2 linked regions of the Drosophila melanogaster genome follow. The protein of the gene in region 1 interacts with the protein of each later gene in a pairwise test. Each region holds a gene or a part of one and is shown in the gene's direction. Other genes may lie near its edges.

Region 1 (10,843 bases):
ATTAAAACAACTAATTGGCAGCAAAAACTATTCGGCAGCCAGAGCAGCAGATGTTAGCTGCTCGTTGCTGCGAAGGCAAATGCGGTGGTTCCATAAAAAACGATGCGAAAAATTAGTTGCATAAATTTCTGCTAAAAGTTGCAACTTTTTGGGGCTGGCTAATTGAAGGTGGGGTGGGGAAAGTGCTGAACGATGTTTTCCTTTCGAAAAAGTGTCCAGCAGCGGCGAACTGAACTGGCCAATATTAATGTGTGTTTTTGGTTTGACAACTATTTTGCTTCTCCCTAATTTTTACGCTCCAGGAAATAGTAGTTGAAATTTAATTGAATGACAGCCCTCAGCATGCCACACATTTTAAAGGAAAAGCTCAAAAAAAAAAAGGGTTGAAAGCACAGGTGTTTATGCTTTGTTCGTTTCTCGTAGGCTTCGGGCTTCAGTCCAGAGATAAAAGTGTAGCTGCCGGCTTTTACTCCCCCAGCCAACGTGGATTGTTATGATTTTACAACAATATTATTTTTCCATCAACAACATCAGCAAAAATCAATCAAGTTCAATTAAATTGCTGCCAACGGACACAAAAAGATGCAGCAAAACTCCGAAAAAAAAGAGAAAACTCATGCAGCCTGAATGCAATTATCCAGAATTAATTTTACATAAAAATTGTGTAGAACAAAAAGGTTTGTCAGCAACAGAAATTAAAATGCCAATTATAAATTGCAATTAAGAGTCGAAGTGTAGGCAAGAAATTAAAATATGGCCTGTCCTGGCAAATCAATCAAACCTAATTGCCTGCTTATAAATACGAGTATGCGACTATGTAAACACGGTAATAACATTTGCACTGTTGCACACGCATCTATGTATGTGCATATGTATTGTTGTTTGCGAATAAATTTAACTATGGCAATGCGCAAATACAAAATACAAAAAAGACAAATGCTGGCTACATTTTGTATTGTACGCATATATTGTATTTTGCCCAAATGTGCGACCCAGAGTGTGTGTGTGTGGGTGTTTTTTGTGCGTGTGCGAGCTACATTTACACAAGTGCAAAAATTCCCAAAACACAAATCCTAAAAAAACATTTGTTACTTTTTGCGGGCTCCCGGGACGAAGGTGGCAAGGGGGAGACCACACCCGCACACACCCAAATCCACACACACACACACACACCCTCGGAGACCAGCTGAATGCAGGCCACCGCCTTCCATTGGTATTAGTGGGCCTTGTTAAAACACGGCGGTGTGTTTCGTCTCAAGCGTAGTCCTGCCCATCGAGGGGTCCTTTTCGGAGAAAGTATCTATTGGGTATTATTGTTTCCGAACTCTAATCTCCATGGCCTCTTGGAAAGCAGCTTAATCCCCCAAGTGCGTAGAAAAGTGCGTAAGCATACGCATCTATCACTAAGCTAGTTCAACCATTTTCAAACCATTGTAACCACTCAGCTGAGAGTATCTTAGATGTATTTCTCACCACTGGTATTTCAACAGGGCAGTTCAGATTACGAGTACATTCCCACTAGCGAAAAGATTAAGCTCTTATGCTGCGAATCCTTCTTTCCAATCGTTTCAGTCAACTCCCTCTGTAGCCTACGCCCTCTGACATTTCTACTCAGCCGATCCGAATTGTCAGCCATATTTGCATACATTGTCCCTTGGTCCAGAGACCTGGAAACTAAGTTCTGGCCAAAAAGACCTCCGCCTCTTAGCCCACTCCTCCAGCGATTGCCGCCTTCGAGCCGAATGATTGTAGTCCTCTTGTTGCGCATGAATGTACAACATTTTGTCTATTCGAGCTCGTAAATTCGAGATTATTTTGTGGTGCATTTAAATTTAGCAAACAGAGGAGCAGAGATATGGATGCGATGCCAGAGCTCCGATCCGCTTCACCATGCCTGTTTTGCCATCGCATTTAAAGTGAATTTTGCGGTTTGACTGCCGCTGAATGGAAATAGGAACGACTGAAGCACTTGAGGAGCAGAAGTCCGAGCCCGATCTTCCTCCCCACTTAGGCCTGCTCTTGGTCTTTCAACTTGAATGCAATTAGAAAGTAAAACGACTACAAATTGTCTTGCCGGGGCATTGATTGATTTCCGAGGAAATGGGGAAATTGACGCCGCAGATCCAAATCCAAATCCCAATCCCGGCCGGTCCCCGAACTGCGAGTCGGGAAAGTCGGCAGCCGAGCGGAGCGGAGTCCGTCTAAAAATACCACTCTGCATCTCGCTTTTCCTCTCCATCTACATTTCCATCTCCACCTCCGTTTCGTTTTCATTTCCATTTTCACCGAGTGCATTAGGAGCTCCAAAACGAAGGAAAAACACATGTAAGAGGACGAAACATTTCTAATGACTGCGGTGACACTTTTGTGGAAGTGCACACAGCCAGTCGGAAAATGCACACACTCGTAGGACTGTGGGACTCTGAATCTCTGAATCTCAGATACATATACATAGGTGCGGATACGGAGAAGTCGGGAGTCGGGGATTCGAGTTGCATACCTGTGCATTCTGCCGGATAAAATTAGAACGTGAAAGTCGCTGCAGTTGACAGCGTAAAAATGTGTGAACTTAGGAACAGGAAAGCGACGGCGGGGTGCCACAATATGCAACTATATATGTGGGTTTCTCCGATTTTCTGCCGCCAGTGCATGAACCAATGCGAAATTAATAACGAAACCGAAAGGCGGCTCCAAATTACACTTGCCACTGACTTGGGCTCCCTGCGACCCCACACCTTTGGCAAAACTTTTCCCCAACTTCCGCCGATTGATGCATAAACTTTCGAATTGCCGAAAATGATTTGAGACCACCCCATGGCCTCCCCCCCCCCCCCTACTTTGAACATATTTTTAGCCCAGTCATAATACAGTCACTATTTTATTGGTACAAAACAACAGGCACTACTCGAAAGCGAGTTTTTCGAATATGAAGATATGGCAAAGTTTAATAATTTTTAGAAACATTTTTATTAAATTACAGCTCAAATGCCTCAGTAATTTCTCAAAACAACAAACGATAAATGAAACTTTAAAAATTAAAGTTCAATGGTGTAAGGGAGTGAGTCAAAGGCAAAATTAGTCAACTGTTTTTAGTCACTAATTTGATTACGATTTCAAGCAAAATAACTGAAAAGATTGGATATCATGAAGTAACTTGCTTAAAAATATGATTGAATAATAATGACAGCTGAGTTAACTTATTGTGTTCAACTTGCATTTTTGTTGGATCCCAAGAGGAGCTGCCATGTGGCGAGTTTTAAGCTCGATAACTCCGCATTGGCCCCACTGTGCGCACTGTGGCTGTTTGCGTATCTGTGTGCGTGTCGGTGTGCCGGTGCCTCGGTGTGTGAGTGCGATCGGCCGTCTCGCTCTGGCCGCAGCGTCGGCACTCGAGTCGCAGTCGACTCAAAGTCACCAGAACATCGTCGACGGACTCGAGTTTTGTTCCGCCGATCAGTTGTGTCTTGTGCGTTGTGCGGTGAAGTTGCGCCTTCGTTCTGAAACCTAATAAGCTGAGAATCAGAACCTCTGGACATCTGAACGTCTGAAAATCCAGCAGCAGCTACTCGGACCGTGCGGTGCATCCTTCTCCAGACTGAGACTAAGATCCGATTCCAGCCTTAGCCTTCGACCCCACAAATCGCCGCTTTCAAGATGAGAGAAATCGTGAACCTGCAGGCCGGCCAGTGCGGCAACCAAATCGGCGCTAAGGTAGGTCTCGTCACTAGTCTCTTTTCCAACTCACATTTTCTCGAGTCGGCCGATCGCCGATTTCTGGTGGCACTTAATTTATTCAGATTGCCCGAAAACGTTTTTCAATGAGTTTCCAAAATGATCGGCTGCGGTGCGCAGTTCGATGTCGCCGCCTTTTTCAGCGCATTCAGCAATTAAAGCGAAAGAAAATTAACAAAAAAAAAAACAAGCACAGATACGTTAAATAAAAAATGCAAAGTGCAAAAAGTGGACGTTGAAAGAAACTTATTTTGAGCTCGTCTGGCACTCGATATGCCCTTTCTGCTTCGCAAAATTCGCTCAAGACGAAGAAAAAAAGAAAACGGGTTGGGCCGGCTGCAGATCACGAAAAGTGATTCATGGCAAACCCTGTCGGGGAAATTGGGCGGGGAACTTTGGGAGGGAGAATTGTGGCTGAGGCGCAAATCAGCGAGGAAACTTCTGGGGACTTTTGCAATTTTTTGACGCCGAGAAGGGAAATCTCTTGAATTATCTGACCGGAGAAATCTTTTCGCTTTGCTTGAGTTTCCTGCGCTCCAAAGAAACCACAAAAAATGCAATAAAAGAAGCAATAGTATGTAAAGAAAGCTTTATACGTTGGTTGGGCAATATAACTTGATTTCAGTAGCAAACTCACTGGAGAAGTAACTGAAGTCCATCATTAATATTTATGAATATAATGTACACAGTTATCCAATTTTTCCCGAAGCTATATACAAATATTTACAAGAGGCTTTCCCAATATGAATCCAACTGCAGCTGTTCTAATCTTTCCTAGAATTACGGGTAGAGTATCCGATGAGCAATCGTGCCAACCAACCACTACTGGGCTTTTATCAATCGAAGTGAGCGAGAAACGGAAACTCGAGTAATGCAAACGATCGGAGCAATTGGGTTCTGACTTATATATAGGATAGATATAGGATAGTCCACTCAATCCAATCCAATCAGCACGCCCGAAAAACCAAGTGCAGTTCTTCGCGAAAAGGAGGCAGGCAGGCAACCGGCTTTTGCGAACTCAGTTGTTTTTTGGCAATACCAGTTTGGATCGATGTGTTTCTTACAAGTGGCACCCCGCTGAGTGCATTTTTCTGTGGCATCAATGTCAATGCCACAGACTCGATTCGCTCCCAATCATCGTCCAATTGCAAAGTGGGTCGCTGATAAAACCACATCATAGTACACTCACGAAAGATAAGCCCGCGGATCTTAATCATTTGATATGAGTCAATTTGTGGAGAATTAGACGACGCAGCGACTGACTAGTCAGCAGCTTCAATTTAAAAGCAAACTCGCCTGCCTTTTCGGCTTCCCGGAATTTCGGCAATAGCAATGGTTTTATGGGGCAGCGCTCGTAGGTATATACATAAGTACTGAATGAGATATGATGGGAAGTTTGTCTGGTAATTTGAGCAGCGAAACCCCCCCGGTAATGTGAGACCCCAAAAAACCGGCAAACTGAGAAAGAAACAACTAACAGCTGAGTGGACAAGCGGATTCTTGAATAAGAATGGCAAAGAATGCCAGCCCGAAAACCGCACAAGTGCAGGAGAGGAAGGAAGTGACTCACCGGACCTGTCCTGTATACAATTACAGGATATCGGGGTTGCCCACTGGCCACTGACTTTGTGTGCGAATCCCCTTTTGGCTCGAGCCACGACGATGAATGCATACTAAGTGTGCGGCCTCCGAGATTAAGTAGGATCCAAGTGGCCGTCCAGATCCGAAGTCAATAAACCCGGGGCTCTCTTTCGGAATTCTTATCGCCTTCCTCCGTCGTTTTTGACACTCCACAGCAGCTGCGGGAAAAGACAAAAGTCAAGAGTGAGTGTGGGTGCGGGTGCGGGGCACTTCAATCGAAGAATTTTCCTCCTCGGATGCCAAATGCTTTATATCTTGTGAAAATAGCACTCTCTTCGTCTCTTTGCATAGCCAGCGATCCTCTGCAGAAAGAAGATGGGCTCCAAGTTCACGCTCGAGTGAGTCTCGCATAGACGAAGTGCAGTCGCGGATTGGGGGAGTGGAGGAGTCTCTGGCTCCCAGACATGCAACACTTAATGAGGGCGTCTCGATTGCCAGTCGCCAGATGATCGCATGCTAGAGGCGTGGCCAGGGGCGGCGGTCCCGTCTCCAAAGGGGGCTTAGACCAGGCCAGTTGCAGTTACTAGTAGACTCCAGGCAGCAGAGCTTAGCTTTGCGAGCTAATTGCACAAATTGAAGATTGGACTCGCCAGCGAAGCTGTTAGAACAGATGTTGTCTATTTTCGTGGATGAAAGCCCGGAAAACTAATTGTGGAAAAGCATAGCAATGAATTCCACTTTGATAATATGAAGGAAAGAAACATATACTCCTAGGATATACTATCTTCTCATACAACCATCTTGCTTGGGGCTTTTCAAGCTACAGTTGGCCAGTTCCATTTGTAGAACGTTTTCCATCACAAGCAATCAACCTTACGTTCCGATTCGACACGAGTTTTCTTAACCAAATTGAATTCTCGCCACCGATCGTGTTCGCCCGAAATAAATCTGGCCGAAAAGCCATCAATCTATAATTGCAATCTAACTGTGCCTCGGTTTATACCTCCAACTGCCGTTCACCGAAAAGGCCGACAGTTTTCCGACAAAGCCATTATCTGGCAAATGAAAATCCGAGGTGGAGCATTAGTCGAATGTAAAAGTAAAGCGATCAGCGATGGTCGTGCCCGCAGGGGGGAGAAGTGGAAATGGGGGGCAGGAGGGGCCGTGAAAAACGACTTTTCACTTCAACAGTTTTGTGTGCTAATTCGGTTTTCATATTTGCTGCTGCCGCGTGTGGTTTTGTTTTCTGTTTGCGCGGCCTTATAAGCCGCGCTTTGTTGTTGGAGCTTCATAATTGCAGCGGCCACACTCCAATTAAATTTGATGATCTTGCTAAGATTGCAGTTGCCTGAGATTCACTTCGTTGATGTAGTTTCCGCCCCTCTCCGCTGGGCCGTAAATAAACAAAGAAATGCAGACGCCATGGGTAGCTCCACTGCTCCTTCTCCTCGCAGTCAGATCCCCATCCCCATCTGCAACCCCATCCCCATCCCCAGTTCCCAGTGCCTTTGTTTATAGTCGCACACGTCAAGTTCAAGTGCCAAAGGGAAACAACTCAGACAGCAGACATCGCTAACATTTTTATTATTTCCCCTATTCCTCGCCGGAGAATCTCGGTGACTGTTGCCAAGCCAGCCGCGTTTCGCTCCGTTGGAGAGGCCATGCTGATCCCCAAAACCGATCCCCAAATAGTCGCCCAATGATCCCCGGAGGCGCCCAAATTTGGTTCTTGTTAAACGCAGCACAACAATTGCAGAGCACTTCCTCAATAAATCGCCGCGATGGCTGTGTATCCATGAGATACGTAATTTATCGCATTTCGATCGGGTCACTGGATGGGAAGGGGGATGTCTAAGGAGGTGGCCCCATCTAATGGTGGGTCATTGGCCTGCAGTCTCTAATTCTTGGCCCCCGATGAGTCAGCAGTCGTGTATCTCTCACACTCCCATCCCATCCCATCGCAACCCATTCCATTCTGCTCTGCTCCGCTATTTTTAAATGCATTTCTCCCCAGGAGCGGCGTGTCGTGGAAATTTTGTCCCATACAGTGAGAAGAGGGACAGGGTTTTTTATTTAATTTTTACCAGCCCGGACGCATTTTTTAAATTTAGCACTAAATCAGGGCATGTTCGGCGGCGTCCAAAACTGACGTTTGAAAAACTAAACATAAATTCGGTTTTCCCTTTTTTTTCGGGGCAATCTGTCTCACTTTTGACTGCGCCATCGGAGGCCCCCTATATGGACAGGCCAGGCCGTCCGCATCCGCATTTAGCCCATATATATACTCGTACTTGTGTATTTTTCCAAACCTCAAACTTTATGGGCTGCGGCTGCGCCTTGTTGTTTGTCACATTGTCACATTTTCACATCGGAGGAGGCAGGAACAGAGATTTCTAGAATGGTTCTTGGGGTGCCTCTCTATGTTTTTTTTTTTTTTTTGGATTTTGGGCGGATTCTGTGGCTGCGGCCATATGTCAGGGCTCAACATGAACTCTGACATGGCTGGGTGGGCACAATTACTCAACTTGATGAACGGCTCCGGGAATATTTAGTGGGTCTTCGTGTCGACTAAAGAATCCGCAATCGCCAAGTGCTCCGCTGGGTTCATAAAGATATCATATGTGTTGGCCGATAAGGATGAAAGATCTCCGCTGGAGTGGCGGATAAGGAGCTGTCAAGATGCGGGATGCAGCTTCTTATCTCAATGGCGTATATTATGTACATACGTATATTTATTTCTCAGAAACATGGCAAGTTTTCTTTGAACGAAGCATTATTTGATGTTCAGGGAATTTGCTAATTGGTTTAATAGACTCGAGCTTGAGAAACTCAAACTAATTACTTCTAATCAAACGAGTTTTTTTACTTTTATCCAATAAATATGACTTTCTTGTATATGCAATTCGAATGAGTTATCATTCTAGGATCCAGCTTTGAGTAAAACTTCCTAACACACTTCCTAACCTTTTGCTTTCCCGCAGTTCTGGGAGATCATTTCCGAGGAGCACGGCATCGACAGCAATGGCATCTACGTGGGCGACAGTGATCTGCAGCTGGAGCGCGTCAGTGTCTACTACAACGAAGCATCGGGTAACACTTTGCCATGTCATTAGATCGCCCAAATGGTTTTCACTAATCGCATCCCCTTTCAGCAGTCACGCGGTCGTCGGGTGGCAAGTACGTGCCCAGGGCCATCCTGCTCGATCTGGAGCCCGGAACCATGGAGTCGGTGCGTTCCGGTCCGTACGGACAACTCTTCCGGCCGGACAACTTCGTGTACGGACAGTCGGGAGCGGGCAACAACTGGGCCAAGGGTCACTACACCGAGGGCGCCGAGCTGGTGGACAATGTCCTGGACGTGGTCCGCAAGGAGTGCGAGAACTGCGACTGCCTGCAGGTTGGTACTTTTGGATGAGAACGTGTTAATCTGGTACTGATTCCGTATGTCTTTAGGGCTTCCAATTGACGCACTCGCTGGGCGGCGGCACTGGGTCCGGAATGGGCACCCTGCTGATCTCGAAGATCCGCGAGGAGTACCCCGACCGCATCATGAACACCTACTCGGTGGTGCCATCGCCCAAGGTGTCGGACACCGTGGTGGAGCCCTACAACGCCACCCTGTCGATCCACCAGCTGGTGGAGAACACAGACGAGACGTACTGCATCGACAACGAGGCGCTGTACGACATCTGCTTCCGGACGCTGAAGGTGTCGAATCCCAGCTACGGAGACTTGAACCACCTGGTCTCGCTGACCATGTCCGGGGTGACCACCTGCCTGCGTTTCCCCGGCCAGCTGAACGCCGATCTGCGCAAGCTGGCGGTCAACATGGTTCCATTCCCGCGTCTCCACTTCTTCATGCCCGGATTCGCGCCGCTCACCTCGCGCGGATCGCAGCAGTACCGCGCCCTCACCGTTCCCGAACTGACCCAGCAGATGTTCGACGCCAAGAACATGATGGCCGCCTGTGATCCACGCCACGGTCGCTACCTCACGGTGGCCGCCGTCTTCCGCGGCCGCATGTCCATGAAGGAGGTGGACGAGCAGATGCTGGCGGTGCAGAACAAGAACAGCTCCTACTTCGTGGAGTGGATCCCGAACAATGTGAAGACCGCGGTGTGCGACATCCCGCCGAAGGGCCTGAAGATGTCCTCAACGTTCATCGGCAACACCACGGCCATCCAGGAGCTGTTCAAGCGGATCTCCGAGCAGTTCTCGGCCATGTTCCGGCGCAAGGCCTTCCTGCACTGGTACACCGGCGAGGGCATGGACGAGATGGAGTTCACCGAGGCGGAGAGCAACATGAACGACCTGGTGTCCGAGTACCAGCAGTACCAGGAGGCCACCGCCGACGACGAGTTCGACCCGGAGGTCAATCAGGAGGAGGTCGAGGGCGATTGTATTTAATGGTGTGGCCAGAGGAATGAGGGGCGTGCGTGACGGCAGGGGGGATAGGGATGTCCGCTTTCTGCGCGGCATGCGCCACCAGCTGGCGGCCAAGCACTGCAGCATCCTGTGACCCCCGCCGTTGGACACACACACAGTCACAGCAGACGCAGACCACACACCACCACAATCATCACACACGGACAGGAAGGACATGCAGACGAACAGGAAGGTCAAGCGTAGTTAGAACATCAAACGGAAATGTTCCCAAGCCCATGCTTCCGCTACTCCCCATCATCCAGCTCATCCATCGTCATCCATCATCGCCCATCCCGCCGCATCATCTCACATCTCACATCTGACATCTCGCATCTTCATCTTTTTGTTCATTTTCGGCACTTGTCACCTCCTCTGCGCTATATACTTTATACTATACTATACTATATACCATATACACACTTTACACGGAGGCACGTCTATCGCATTTCTCGCAGCCATTTTCACCCGCTTTCCAACCCACCCACCACCACCCATGTCACTCCATTCATAACCCCAAGTTATCCCACGTCATTCTTATACTACTATTTATATCGCAACGTCAGCAGAAGGACCACAAGTATCTAGTATTGCAAAGGATATCGAATTTATGCAGAAATCTCAAAACGAGAATGTCCAGCGTCTAGGAAGTCGGCACTCAAGACTTGGCGGCACTTACGTTTAGGGCTATACGATAAACGAGCTCATCCAAAGATAATCGAACGACAACTCTCATGAGATCCTCTATAAAAGGCAATTTCTGAAAAGCATCTGCAATTGTATTTACATAATCTTAGGGCACAATCTATTCACTTTGTATTCGTGTGCAGTACTTCTCTTGTAGTTTTATATGGATAAAAACATTTGTACCCAATAAATAACTAATAATAATGGCAAACATTTTTGACAAATAATAAATGGAATTTATTTAAAATTTACAACATTGTGTTTCTGCTTAAAAGAGAGAGTCATGTATATAACTTCTGAATATTGATAATTATTCTGTATAATCAGTTGGAGCTGCAGACAATGAAAAATTTTCATTTAAACAGAAAACGTCCGTTAAATTAGCGTTGCCAGAACGAACACACGTAGAATGTATTGCACG
Region 2 (7,005 bases), on another chromosome or scaffold:
TTTAAATCGCTTTAAGGTCCTCGGCAACGGGGCGGCTGAGTGATAAATCTTTATCACTTATTCGGGGATAAGTCGCTCCGCTACTGGCCAACTTGATTAATTGCCGCAAATAAACGAGGCCTCAAGGATGGATGATTGGCAAACTGCTCGATGCGGCCGCAAATCAAAAATACATAGGACTCAGATTCCTACCCCATTTTTGGCTTTTCTGACAACTTTCGTCACGTATCGTCCATCAGGCGGAAGTAATTCATCAAAACATGGAAGGCAGGCTAGGCGGCTTATATTAAATAATGATTTGATGGCGGTGGAGATCCTTGCCCCAACCCCACCTAATTAGACGATGGGTCCTCTTCCGGGACTAATTAAAATGCCCGCCGTCAAACAACAGAAAAATTATAAATCACATTTCTTGTATTTGATTCCAGTTCCATTATGCAAATGTTGACGGCGCGTAAACAAGCCGGGAAAATGGCATAAACCAATTATGGGAAAGTGCGGGCGAGCTTTCCCCATCGAGTGTCAAAGAGATTTGAGTTGCGAGCTGCTAGCTCTAAGTTCCGAGTTTCGAGGGTCAAATGGCAACACTTTTTAATTAACTTGGCTCGAAACAGCCGCATACAAACTTCCAGTCGGGGTACAAGAAGGCGAACAAAAATCCCAAGGAAATTATAATTTTCCCTGGCTTTCGGGGGGATGAACAACTTATGGAAATAATTGCCCAAAATTATGCAAATGCGGGGAAGTGGGGTGAATGTTTTTCCATTGTCATTATTCCACTTGATTGTTTACATTATTTCTCGACTGATGCCTTTTAATTTCATCTAATGGCAAAAGGATTTTCTAGCTTGTGACTTGGCTTCTATGACTTGGCTTAAATGTTTTCTTTAATTCAAATTACACAATACATAGTTCAAGAAACTAAGCTTTAATTGATGCATTCAGAGTTATATTATCAACATTATTTTAACTATTTCAAAATAATTGGTTAAATAATGTTCGTCATATTAAGCATTTTAAACCCGCTACTTGTAGAATAAAAGGGTATACTACATTCGGTGAAAAGTACGTAACAGGATGCGTTTCCGACCATATAAAGTATATATATATTTCTGATCCCACTCAATAGCCGACTCCATCAGTATGAACGCCTCGATCTTAGGAACTATTAAAGCTAAAAAGTTTAGATTAGACAGGAAGATTCCGAAGGCATAATAAATCAGGCCAATAAATGAGGTCAATAAATTCACGAATTTTTGAAATGCCGCATAATCAGGGGATAATTTGCTTTCACACTTTCAAGAGATCACGATACCTCATAGCATAAACGTTGTAATAGTCGCAGTACTCGACTAAAGCGTTGCTGTTATTTTTTGTAATATGCCATTTTATTCCATGCGAAAGTGCTAACAACTTCCCTTATTTCATTATCCTGCTCTTCCATTTTTTTTGTCATAGCGTAGATTTTCCATAATCTAAGCAGCACTTTAATAGACATTTTCCCAGATTTTCCCGGCAGTTCACTCCTTGATAAATACACTCACGTAGCCGGTTGGTGAAACGTCAAAGTCAATAAGCACAAAAATTTCGAAGGCAGTAGGTTTTTTCGCTTCCTTTACCGAGCCATTACAACATACAATCAGGCGGATCAGACAGACGACGACATCGAAATCGAAACGTGGCTACAACAGCTAGGTGAGTGAGTGGCGGCTTTTCCGAGCGCTGGTTCGCTTTTTCACCTGCGCAAAGCACGCAAATACCCAAACACACACTCGCATTACGCGCAACTTTTTAAAAGTCAGGCAGAAAAATGTTTTTTAAACGCTAAATTACTTTTGAATGGCAGGAGGGCGTGGCGGCGCCTCGTCATGTGGGCGTGTCGGAGCGCCAGCGTCACAATTTAATTTTGTGCTCCCTCATTTGCCCTGCCACCCGCCCTCCCCTCGCCAGACGCTTTCCCACCGCTTTTCCACGACAACAACAAGCGCTTTGTCACAAGAGGGGCGCTTTTTTTCGTGTAGCGTCTGAAGAGCGGAAATGCTTATCCCAACACTTGAGCGTCACGTGCTGCCGTGGTCGCTGCTGCGGCGACACCGACACACGGATACCCTAACTGAATGTATGCGAATCGATCGATATGGAAAGCAGGCAATAGTGGTTATGAAGGGTTTACTGGCTATTGGTTACTGGTTAGTGTGGTGATTACCAAGTGAGCGAACTGAAGAATCGGCATGGTTAAGAAATTAAAGAAGAAGATTTTTAATGGTAATAGAGCTTATATAGATTATACGCCGAAAATCGAATTCAACTTTTAAATCGGTGCTCATCAGATCATATTGGGTCTTGAAAATTGAAGGCCCATTTTTGCCATATATTAATCCGTATTCAAAAAGTGATTATTTCTTCATATCTATTGAATTTGACTCTATTAATTTGTTTCCCTGACATTTACGAAGGATCTGCGAATCTTCCGGTGGCCCCCCAGTCGCTGGTTTCATTTGAATTCCTCGCTTTCGGCAGTTAGGGTATTTAAATCTGTCCGGCCTCAGACTTGCCAAACTGTGCCACGCAGATACTTTCCCGCGCAGAAAGCGCCTAAGGTCGTTGTCGTTGTCGCTGGAAAAGTGGAAAAGCGAGGAAAAGCGCGAGACAGGTAGTGGGGATGGGGATGGGGATGAGGATGGGGCAGAAGGTTGGTGTCTGGTGGCTGGGGAAAACACCCTGTAGGTGTTTTGAATGTTTAGCTCAAGTGGCTTTTTAAAACACATTCTATGCTAATTAAGGGCCCGGGCTTGGGCATAAATGAGTTGTCGGTGACGTTGACGTTGCCTGTCGCCGTTGTTTGCATTTGATAAGCCAAGATTGTTGCCAGCCAATGTAATCAATGGAGGGCAGCGGAAGGAAGCTCCACCATCTTACCATCATACCAACATACCGCCAAGCCATCGCCATCATCGCTCATTGCGTAATCCTCGAGGAGCGGTGGCGAAAGCGCAAACCCCATTTAATTAACGAATTAACAAAGCCAGAAGTTTCTGTGGTTTTTAAGTGATTTCGGGTCGCCCGAAGGCAAACATTTTGCGGCCTTGTTATGGCATAATTGAATTATTGCCATATGAAAAAACAAAATATGGGCTAAGACCCCAGTCAAAACGCCGAACCCAAAGACCCAAAAACTCAAACCCAACTGGCAGCCAAAAAAAAAAGGGAAGTCGATGGCAAAGTTTCTTGTTCGCTTTCTTATTTTTCCTTCACATCTCGGGCAAAATAAATCAAGACTTTTGGGCGCTTGCAAAAAAAAAAAATATATATATATTCGGAAAACGGAAAAATGTGAGGAAAAGCCAAAAAGTCGGCGCCAAATTGAATTAGGGCTTTAATGGCGAAATTTGTGGGTGAACTCCTATACTTAATACTCGTATTAATGCAGCTCATTAAGAATTACTAAAATTTGTATCGGGCTGGAAGTTCTTATCGACAACCCTTTTCCTAAATACCTCTAAACCGCACCACAACCAATGCTATTGTTATGGAACGTTTTCCCAGTGGGCTATGTTTGGATAAGTTTAAGATATGGGCTTTTTAGCCCGTGGGCTTTAGCTGTCAAGGCTCAATAGATTTTTGTTGTCGATAGGAGTAGGAGGTAAACACGAGGATCTACATTTCTCTTAAATTTGTAAAACTTTTTCAACTTTCAACAGCCATGTTAATTCAACTGGTCTTCCTGGGCATCCTATTGTGGGCGTCCTTCTTTTGGCTGCAGTGCCGCTACCTGGATGTCCTGGAACTCCTCTTCGCCTGGATAGGCAATCAGTTGGCGGAAACTCGCAGGAGGCGAGCTCGCGAAGAACGGTGCCGCCTGGGCAAAAAGTGGGCGGTCGGAAATAAGGGCGATGGCATGGAGAAGCTGCTCTCGCCGCCGATCAAGAATCGTCTCAATATCCGAGTGGAGCAGTGCTGCGACTTCATAACCGCCGGCTTGGGCTTGGTGCTCGAGGACGACGTGACCCAGAGGTTTGTGGCCCCACCTTCGCCAGCTGGGGAATGGAATCTGCTGACCCGCAACCTTCGTCAGAGGAATCGATACCTCAGCTGGCGTTTAAGGACGGTCTGGCTGCTGGGCTGGGTTGTACGCTACGGACTGCTTTTGCCCTTCAGGACCATTGGCTGCTGGCTGTGCCTGTTCATGATCAGTGGAGTCTCAATGCTGCTGGGTCACATTCCCGACTGGTGCTTCAAGAAAAAGTTGGTGGAGCTGGTATTGCGGCAGTGCTTCCGAATCACGGCCGCCTGCCTGCCGATGATCCGCAGATTCCACAACACGGAGTATCGGCCCACCAAGGGCATCTGTGTGTGCAATCACACGAGCCCCTTAGACGTCCTGGTGCTGATGTGCGATGCCAACTACTCGCTGACGGGCCAGGTTCACACCGGCATCCTGGGCGTCCTGCAGCGCGCCCTGTCGAGGGTCTCCCACCACATGTGGTTCGACCGCAAGGAACTGGCCGATCGTGAGGCTCTGGGTCTGGTGCTCCGCCTACACTGCTCCATGAAGGATCGGCCGCCGGTCCTGCTCTTCCCCGAGGGCACTTGCATCAACAACACCGCCGTAATGCAGTTCAAAAAGGGTAGCTTCGCGGTCAGCGACGTCGTTCATCCAGTGGCCATTCGATACGATCGCCGATTCGGCGAGGCCTATTGGGACAGCACCCGTTACTCTATGCTCAGATACATGCTGATGGTGGTCAGCTCGTGGTGCATTTGCTGCGATGTTTGGTACATGCCGGCACTCAGCCGGTGCAACGACGAGTCCCCAGTAGAGTTTTCGAATCGAGTGAAGGCCGCAATCGCCGCCCAGGCGAATATCGATGATCTGCCCTGGGACGGAAACCTAAAACGCTGGAGTCCCGTCAGGGACTGGCAATAGTTCAAGCATAGCTTAGGTTCTTACCTTGGCTATTTCATATCGCCGTTTGCAATACCGTACGCTGTTGGTATATTGATTGTATGACCCTTTTGATACTAGTAAATCGATCGATATATTTTAGAGAGCAAAATGTGATAAATTCACTTATTTTACTGTTCTCTGGCCGCGAAGTGGTGGAGCAGCTAATCTCGATGACCAGAAGGGAAGACCCCTTGCATTCTGTAGGCTATTCTATAAACCAATTATTATATGCTTTTCTATCTCTTGATAGCCAGACAACTGATTGATTAAAACAAAGCTATTAAATGGTTAAACCGGATGCTGTGTATCCACTTATAAAAAGTTATTCTGTCGTAAGTCCTTTGGATCTGACCCCAGATAAGCACTAACTAGATATGATATACTAGACCTCTCATGACATATGACTCTAGTCCCTATGGTGGTGGTGACCTTATAGATAGCGAGGACCTACCGTTTTGGCTGGACAATCTTTCTTTCTCCGTGGCGAATCGAGGCGTTGGGCCCGTACCTTCCGAGGAGGGCGCTCTGCGACTGGGAAACGCCGCCGGCGGCGGAAGCGGACGCCGCGGTGATCGCCGCAAGGCCGCTGCGCAACGAGGTGCAGGTGGCTAGATCCCGGGGGTGGGCTAGCCCGTAGGCGCCAAAGGCCGACTGCGAGTGGACCGCATAGTCGAGGCCGGGTAGCTCCAAGGAGGCGATCGGGTGAATGCGGGTCAGTGAAAGCGTGCTTTCGAGCACGGTGCTCAGGAGCGGGGCGCTGCGCAGGGATCTCAGGCTGCCGCGGCGCGTGAGCGTGTCCGGCTTATACATCCGGGGTTGGGGGGGCCGGCCGACCCCCCGCCGCCGCCTGCCGACCGCCTAATTGCTTGTCACCTCCTCTGCTCCGGTTAGTAATTGCCGTAAACGGTCGGTTAGTCCGGCGTGCGGGTCATTCGCAGCAGTCGCTTTATGACCAATTACGCTGTTTAGTGAGCAAAGCGCGCTGGTCACGCAACTATTTAGTCGTCGTCTCCTGCTCCCTATATTGCTTACTTGCTTTTTTGCTAACTTGCTCTACTGCTAATCTGCTTGCGTTCGCTTCCTTATCGGTTACTTGACTGTTTGATTTTTGCTTTGGAATAAGGCTATCTTGCTCGGTATCCTGCTTGCTATCTTGCTTTCCTGCTATTCTTTTTGTTATATCTGCTTGCTTGCTAACTTGCTTTGCCTGCTAGCTCTTCTGTCTGCTGCTTTCTTGCTTTCCTCTTCAGACTAGTCTTCTTCTTTTGGATCCTGCTTTCATCTGCTGGTTCGCTTTCTTGCTTCTGAAAATATCTATTACGTGCTTTTGCTTTTCTCGTGCTTTGCAGCTTTTGTTAGCCTACGAATTCCTTCTTGCCTTACCTAACTTTACTAACCTATCTGATTTGACTATTACACTACTTTTGCGTCTTGGTACCTTTTCTGCTGCTTTCGATACTTTTGCTTGGGCGCTTTTCAGCTGCGTCTATGCTTTTGTTTTTGCTTCGCTTTGTCTCCAGTTCACTTGCGTGCTTTCACTTCGCTTGCCTGTCTCACTGCTTGCCTGATTTCCTGCTCTCCAGCTTGCCTTATTTCCTGCTCGCCTGCGTGCCAGCGTTTTGTTGGCACAAATGCTCGTACAAATTGCTCGTCGCCTTGTTGCTTTTGCTGCTGCTCGTGTCGCCAGTTGCCGCTTTGCTTTGGCTGCTTTGCATACAAGATTTGATTTGTCAGATTGCAGATTGCCATTGCGATAGGGAATGGACACGCGGGAGTTCCCCTGCGGGGTTGCGCCTGACTAAACGAATATGCTGAGTGGGTGGGCAACTGGGTGGTGGGGGTGGCAAGTGCTCAACTAATTGATGGATGGCGAGTGCAACTCGCCCTCCGACGCGCCACATTTGCAACGAGTGCATTCGCGGCAGCTGTCGGCTAAGTGATTCATCGAAAGCAACTCTGATTGATGGCACTTGACACTAGTCGCTAATCACTAAGGGCTATTCAGTAATCAGCTCGACGCGCTAATGAGTATTTCACTGAGATCCCTAAATCACTTA

The links. The genes of interacting proteins can lie anywhere in the genome.
Region 2: the proteins of betaTub60D (region 1) and CG15450 interact in a two-hybrid assay, tested with the Drosophila melanogaster proteins (one large-scale study listed by BioGRID).

The regions. Positions count from the first base shown.
Region 1 is NT_033778.4:24,302,428-24,313,270, forward strand, and holds betaTub60D (beta-Tubulin at 60D), read left to right. Parts: upstream 1-3,453; 5' UTR 3,454-3,654; coding exon 3,655-3,711; intron 3,712-8,294; coding exon 8,295-8,403; intron 8,404-8,465; coding exon 8,466-8,710; intron 8,711-8,766; coding exon 8,767-9,720; 3' UTR 9,721-10,672; downstream 10,673-10,843. UniProt on the Drosophila melanogaster protein: Tubulin is the major constituent of microtubules, a cylinder consisting of laterally associated linear protofilaments composed of alpha- and beta-tubulin heterodimers.
Region 2 is NC_004354.4:20,820,589-20,827,593, forward strand, and holds CG15450 (uncharacterized protein), read left to right. Parts: upstream 1-1,557; 5' UTR 1,558-1,695; intron 1,696-3,701; 5' UTR 3,702-3,703; coding exon 3,704-4,927; 3' UTR 4,928-5,053; downstream 5,054-7,005. Other genes in the region: shakB (shaking B), read right to left, coding at 5,400-5,758.